2 linked regions of the Rattus norvegicus genome follow. The protein of the gene in region 2 purifies or fractionates together with the protein of the main gene of each other region. This does not show direct contact. Links are inferred from orthologs where the notes say so. Each region holds a gene or a part of one and is shown on either strand. Other genes may lie near its edges.

Evidence for each region.
Region 1: the proteins of Rbm17 (region 2) and Snrpa1 purify together in Homo sapiens (affinity purification with mass spectrometry; 5 studies listed by BioGRID and IntAct, with this or other methods). This does not show direct contact. The link is inferred for Rattus norvegicus from reciprocal best matches to the Homo sapiens genes RBM17 and SNRPA1.

Annotation. Positions count from the first base shown.
Region 1 is NC_086019.1:129,061,888-129,065,767, reverse strand, and holds the end of Snrpa1 (U2 small nuclear ribonucleoprotein A'), read right to left. Parts: intron 3,382-3,880; coding exon 3,288-3,381; intron 915-3,287; coding exon 856-914; 3' UTR 654-855; downstream 1-653. UniProt on the Homo sapiens protein: Involved in pre-mRNA splicing as component of the spliceosome. Associated with sn-RNP U2, where it contributes to the binding of stem loop IV of U2 snRNA.
Region 2 is NC_086035.1:71,849,788-71,853,602, reverse strand, and holds part of Rbm17 (splicing factor 45), read right to left. Parts: intron 2,366-3,815; coding exon 2,249-2,365; intron 945-2,248; coding exon 778-944; intron 1-777. UniProt on the Homo sapiens protein: Splice factor that binds to the single-stranded 3'AG at the exon/intron border and promotes its utilization in the second catalytic step. Involved in the regulation of alternative splicing and the utilization of cryptic splice sites.

The sequences.
Region 1 (3,880 bases), on a different chromosome or scaffold from region 2:
GTTTGAAAACTGTAACCAGGGGCTGGGAGGATGGCTTAGTGAGTAAGAGTGTTTGTATGCAGGCTTAAGTACCTGAGTCCAAATTCCTATAGCCCAGGTAAAAAACTGGGTCTGTGTACCCACACACCTACAGCCCAGTACTGTGGAGCAGAGATAAGAAGAGTGCTGGGATTCGCCTGCTGGCTGCAAGAGAGGCTCAGTGGGAGGCACTATTCTCAAGGCAACAAGGCAGAGCAGGGAAACTGAGGCACTGGTATTTAATAACAAAATCTTTCCTAGATAAGGAATACAGTAAGAAGCCCAGATGCCAAGGAAAATGTGCTTTAACCTGCCCCACGGAGAAACCATGACCTCTGTGCCTCTGTCCCACAGGCTGGAAGATTATTTTTGCTCATGCTATAGCACCAACAAGCAAATGTCTCATTTCCTATTTAAAAATTTTCAAATCATTTTAAATTGATTTGTGAGATGCTCATGTATGTTGATTAAAAAGGTCACAGAATGCCTATGTGTTTAGTCCTGAAGGCTTCCTGCCTTTACCTTCAGGAAGAATCTAATATTTCAGGAGCAGGAGTAATGTCTATTCTGGAATACCAGCTCTCCAATTTCTCACTTAACCACCGCATACCTCACGGCAAACACAGGGCACACAGTTTGGCAGCACAGTAGGTTGCCTTTATTTACCATTTGTAGAAAATTGGCATTGCCATTTCAAGGTTTCTATTAAAAAATTATCAGCAGTAGTTCTGATCATTCAGCAAAGCTGCAGATTCCACGTTGCTGACACAAGCAAGGCTGTTACTCAATGCTCAAATGCAAGACATCCCACGAGCTTATCAGAGCACCTGCCAGAGCTCAGGACCCATTTGTGACTGTGCCGTCTTCCATCTCCTCTTCACCCTCATCACTCGGCCCTAAGAAAGAACCACGGAACACGTTACGTCCATTCTGTATTACCTACTCACTCTCATGCCACACACACTGATTAAAAAAATGAACATACATGAGCATGTGCATACGTACACACACACACACACACACACACACACACACACACACACACACACACACACACGACTGTCAACTGTGTTCCACAATTTGTGGCAGATTTCTACAGATTTCTGAGTTTGAAATCCAGCTTGGTAAATTCTAGAACAGCCAGGGCTATGTAGAGAGATCCTGTCTCTAACCACACACACACATGCACACGCGCGCACACACACCAAAAAGTTTTGCCATATTCAAATGTTTGGGGAAACTACTGGCAAGTCTGCCTATTATTTGGAAGCAAACAGCAGTTTTCCAGATGGATACACGTTACCACGCGTTGTTTGGCTATACCAGCAGTTTCTTACAGACAGCTCACAAAGTGAAGTTGAATTTTTCTTGGAATCCTTCCCATTCTCACCTCCAGCCCATTACTCTACCTTGCACTCTGAGTGCACCTTGTACCCACAGCAAGCACCTGAACACTTGTACGTCTTTCAAATGCTGACTTTCATGATTCATTAGCAGCCCCACTGACGTCCCCAGAAATGTTTGTAACATTAGACCCACAGACCTACATTTTCTTTAACTGTCTTTCTAGTAACGGTGAAGCCTGTGTGTCAGGGAAGTGCTCTACCAGATTTACATCCCCAGCCCAAGTTTTCCAAATTTTAATTTTTGCTTCAAATCTTCAGTTTTATCATTGGTCAGTGCTAGGGACTGAACTCAGGGACTTAAACATGGTTTTATTACTGAGCTCTATCTTCAGTACCACAGAAAAATCACTTTTATTTCTTCATGGAGGACCATGACAGAATGGTATATATTTAATGGGAGTGGAAGTAAGGAAGAAGAGAGCAAGTAGCATCCCTTGGCCTTGCTGAGGCACCAGCAGTTTTTAACCACTGAAGATGCTACTAAATGGAAAAAGCGAACATCTTGGAGTTACTACATAAATAATTTTACCTTGCCTGTCCCCAGGGGCCTAGAGACCACACAGTACCACAGTTCTTTTTTTTTTTTCCCGGAGCTGAGGACTGAACCCAGGGCCTTGTGCTTGCTAGGCAAGAGCTCTACCACTGAGCTAAATCCCCAACCCCTTCCACAGTTCTTAAAAATATCTCATACACTCTCCCTGAGGAGCGACTGACAATTGAAAGCTGCTGAAGTAGAAGAGCCATTTTCTTCAGCAGGGTACCCACTGTAACTTGCCCTTGCTCCAGCAAGCACCCTTACCTCATACTCATGCAAGCAATCTGACTAAATCTGACTAGGGTCACAAAAACTAAAAAGAACCAAAACAGCTCAAAGATAATGATCCTTGGGAAGCTGTCATGGTAGTCGTTCCAGGGATACTCATACTCAAATTTGTACTGTGTTTACTGTACTTGAATAGTGCATCTCTAGTGCTTGACATGCGGACACAAATTGGACATTTGAACAACAGACTTGTTAACACCTAGCAAACACAGCAGTCTTCCCGAAAACCTTTAATGACAGTACCTATCTGAAACTTAAAGATGAAGATATTTACCTTTAATGATGAAACTTGCCCAAGGACAGTACTGGTCAGGCTCTTCATAAGGCCTGTGCTGACCCACTAAACTACCATTTACAGCAACACCTTGCTTCCAGAGATTATGGTCTAAACTTTTCACCACTGGAGAGTTTGTTATTCTGTGAAGATGAACCTGACACTTACACACACCTAAATGGTAGAGGCTATTAACCCACCTGGTGAAGGCAATTGTTTTCCTAAACTATGCACATAGACAACATGTCACTGCTCTCAATAACACAGAGAACTGAATGCATCTGTACATATCTAAGCACAGAAAAAACACAGTAGAATACCAGGTGGAGGAATTCTGAAGCTGTTGCCCTGTGGAATCATTACTGTATATGCAGCGCGTCAGTCCACCAACATGTCCTTTATACAGCATGTGTCTCAGAAGTTCAGTCACCTCTAGAACCTAGTTCCGTCCATATGAAATGTTTTACTACAACTTGTAAAGACCCCATACATATCCCAGTGGCTTAAATTTCTTTATTGACCCTCCCTGCCTCCTGCCTTTGTTCTTCTTTTTCCTTTTCTTTCCCTTTTTTTGATAAAGGGTCTTGTATAGCCCAAGCTGGTCTCAAACTTGTTTTGTAGCCACAAATGACCTTCAACTTCTTACCCTCTTGGCTTAACCTCCCAAATACAGGGATTATGGGCCTAATCATCACGATAGTCAGCTAGTATTGTGTAATCACTCTAGTGTGACGTTTTGCAAGTTCAGACAGAAGAGTTTCCTCACCTGATCTGCGCTCTCTGCCAGGAATCTGGCCAGACTGCAGCAAGCCCTTCAGCCTCTCAACTTCAGCCAGTGTTGACGCGTTTGCTATGGCATTCTAGAAAACACAGGAAAGGGGAGATGGTGATGACCAGTACCCGGAAAGCACCACCGAAGGCCCAAGCACTTTCCCATAGAACATCAACCACACAGTTCTGGGTCAGGGAAGGATTTCACTGGCACATTACAAATCAACCTAGAAAACAGGCTGTCAATTTTCATATTTAGGAGGAGATTCAGGCTCTTGTAAAAGAGAAGTGATCATTTCATATGCCCTTAAAAAGCTAAGTCTGTCTGGAATCCTGTTACTGGAGACTTTAGGATTTTCTACCTACATTCCAACCAGGATTGTCAGCCAGCAAATCTTGGAAAGCAAAGAAACTAAGGCAATCTCCAAGACTGCACACCCAGGTACTTAACTGCTCAAAGAAGTAAATGGATCCTGGGAAAAGGAGAAGAATACAGATGCCTTCAACTACTTTATCTATTTACTTCAAATCAAAGTCTGATCAAAGAGTAGCTTTAAGGCAGTTTTTTCCTGAACTAGAATACCAGTG
Region 2 (3,815 bases):
ATAAATGAGAGTATAAATTAAATTAAATAAAAAATTAATTAAGTCCTATTACCTATAGTTTTAAATTATAAGTATTATAAGTCAATTATAAGTAAATTAAAAAACACATGTAACTTCACTTGGCTCAAAAATAGGAAAGGAAGCCAGGTGTAGTGGCCCAAGCCTTTAATCCTAGCACTCAGGAGACAGAGGCAGGTGGATCTCTACATTTGAGGTCTACAGAATGATTTCCAGAACAGCCAGTTACAGAGCAGCCCTGTCTCAAAAAACCAAAACCAAAATATAGTAAAGGAACAGCACTGAAATACTGTAAATATTGTGATTCTAGCAGTCACGAACCCTGCAAAACTTTCAACAATGGTTTCTGTTGTTTTGATTTTGAAACAGGCTGGCCTTGAACACTATGTGGGTGGGATTACAGCCATGAACCACCACACCTGGATACCAGTGGGCTTTCTAAGTTCTTTTTCTAATCCACACAAAGTCTACGCTTTAGGTCTTCAGAGTCTACACATACATTTCCTCAAGTGTGCTATCAATGTGGGATGGAACGAAAACAAGGAAACTCTTGGTGACTGAAGCCATAACCTCAGGCCCAGAGACCATACTAAAACTCACTCAGATTCTAATGCACACTTGTTTCCACATCAAGATGAAGCCTGGGTTGGGGATTTAGCTCAGTGGTAGAGCACTTGCCTAGGAAGCTCGAGGCCCTGGGTTCGGTCCCCAGCTCCGAAAAAAAGACCGCCCCTCCCCCCCAAAAAAGATGAAGCTTACTTTTCTCTTTCCTCTATTTCCTTCTGTCTTTCCAGCTCCCGCTGCCTCTGCCGCTCTTCTCTCTGGCGCTTCACCACTTTCTCATAGTCGTTAGGAAACATTGGGTCATATTCATCAGCCAAGGGGATCAGGACTTCCCCTGCAGAGAACCCACTGGGCACAGGGTCCTGGGGAACAAGAACACCTGAGTGAGTGCCGTATCACATCCTGCAGGGTTATCAGAGAAGCAAAGGTCCCAGGATGAGGCAAGAGAGGCCTTCCAGATTATCTAAGGATCCTTTATTTCCTGGTGAGTTGAGGCCTCCCCTCACCAGATGGCAGCACAACCTGGCAGTTAGGCAAAAGCTTATGTTGGGAAAAGCACTGACAATCACGGTAAGTCTTAAGTGAGGTTTAAACTGGCATCTGAGTGACATCTGTACATGTGAAAATGGATTACCATTTTCCAGACTTCCCGTGCTCCCTCCAGAGTCTCACAGTGCTACAGACACATAGCCAAGGATGACATGAACAACTCCCAAGCCTTCGGCTTCATAATAGGAGCCCGTTCTATTAACAACATGCAGCATTACGCCCCCCCCCCCCCTTTTGCCTTTCTTTAAAATGACTTCTAACACTGGTAACAGACAGTTAGAAATAACCTTACGGTTTACATTAGAAGAATGAAGTTATAGCTAATCCACTGGAGGCAATCCACTGAAACTATTAACACTGGCCATACAGGGACTGGAGATAGGCATTAATAAAGTCACTGACTGGCTTTCCAGAGGACTCAGGTCTCACTCCCATCACACATACAGTGGCCCCCAACTGTCCCACCACCATCCTAGGGATGCATCCGCACAGGCAAGAGGAACACATGCAGTGTACTGAAACATGAGGACAACACACTCACACACTCATAAAAGTATGTTTAAATGACCGTGTAGTTCTATTGTTTTGAAAAGGAGAAATGGACAATCACTAAACACAAATTAGAGAGCAGAAGGCCGAGAAGTTACAGAAAGATATTCTAAAATTATGTAATTTTGTAATGCATAGAAGGTATGTATGATTAAAAAGATAGACTTTTCATTTTTACCCATCTTTCATTCCTGAAGTTTCCATAATAAACTATTTTAGGTAATAATACTAGCTTTCAGTGGCCTACTGAAGAGACCCTTGTGGGGGCTGGAGATGGACAGAGGTTTACAGTGCTTACTGCTCTATCAGAGGATGGCTGGGAACTCGGTTATCAGCACCCACACAAGGTTCACAAATGCCTAACTCCAGCCCTAAGAGATCTAAGGCCTCCTCTGGCCTCCATGGGTGTGTGCATGAGTGAGCAAGCACGCTCAAGCACTCGCGCGCGCACACGCACACACACGCGCACACACACACACACATGAGATAAATCTCATAAAGAGAGGAACATACATGTAAAATAAAGAAACGTGGAAAATGCTTCAAACCACAGGTGGGTACGGCTTACCTTCAGCCCAGCTGCCACATGAGGTGGCGTGTCTACGATCTGTCGGTCATCTGAGGAGCCTCCTCGCTTCAGGTCGATGACTGGAGCGAGGACTGTACTTTGCTTTGTCCTTTGGCTCTGACACCAGAAACAAGAAAAATGCACCAAACATCCAAATTAAAATTCATGGTACTTGCAACAAAGACACCTTTTCTGGTCTCTGTAACAAACCTTTGGCTGAGATAAAATCATCCTTAAAGCAGTTAAGAGTCTAACACAATCAGTGTGCTTACTGTTTGCTGAGGGGTCTTAGGGAGCCCAGGCTGCCTCCAGTGCCCTCTGCAGCCGATGATGAACCTGGACTCCTGTTCTCCTCCCTCCACCGCTGAGTGCTGACTGAGCAGCAGACCCAGTTTATACACAGGGGCTTCAACACAGGCCTTCCTGGAAACTAGGCAAACACTCCCAACTGAGCTACAGCTTCATTCCCTTTTGCTCTTTTTTAAAAGCAGATTTCCTCTATCTATACAGTTTATAGTAAGTGTGGCCACTTTATGGCTGGCCTTAAACTTACAGACCTACCTGTCTGTCTCCAGAGGGCAAGCCCTATCCTACTTCTTTTAGAATGACTACCCCAACCAGACAACAATTATTCAATCTGTCTGTCTGCCTGTCTATATGTATGTTTGTATGCATGCATACTTGGGTGTGCATGCATGTGTGAGGGCCGGGTCTCTTCTTACACTATAGGGTTCTAGGGATCCAACTTGGGTCATCAGGCGTTGTCACTCACCGAGCCGCCTCACCACCCCTCCCTGTTTCCTAAACGTGCTTTTGATTTCCAAATCTTCAGCACACACCACCTCCATCTTCTTTGTTTTTCTCTGGGACACTGTTATTACAAGTGCTGCTACATATGTCTCCCTAACTTACAGCTCTAAGTTCTAGCAGATCTAAAACCTGTTTAGGTTGAGGTTAAAGGTAGTAGACAAGAATATCGTACAGCAAGCTGGTGAACACCACCAAATCCTCAGGTTGCCAGGATGCCATGGCAGATCATGCGGACGGACTGACGGTGATCACCAAAGTTTAACTTCTCGGTTTTAAAATTTAAAGTGGTACAAACTTTCATTCTTATCAGGAAGTCTGAGCTCTCTGGATTTTAATGGTGCTCTAGGCAAACAGCATATCATCAAGGTATTATATACAAAACCACAATATAAACCCTAACTTTCCATAATGGGCATTATGTCAATCACTTATTTAGTCATTTTAAAATTTAATTTTTCAAAAATGAAATACAAATGAAATCAAACCTTCACCTTTCAGATACAGGTAAATTTTTCCATACCAAGTATTTTTAAAAGTTTGGTTAGTACTCTGAGAAATTCACCAAAGAGCCCAAGAGAAACAATACAATGTAACTTCACTTCCTCATAAGAAATCAACCACACAGATGATAGTCCTCAAAACTCATGTCAGAAGGTTAGCAGATGGTTTAAAGTAATGTTCCATTCTGACTGATTAAAATCTATGTGCAATCTCAAGACAATTGCTAATAGCTGACATTAAAATATCTGCACAGCTG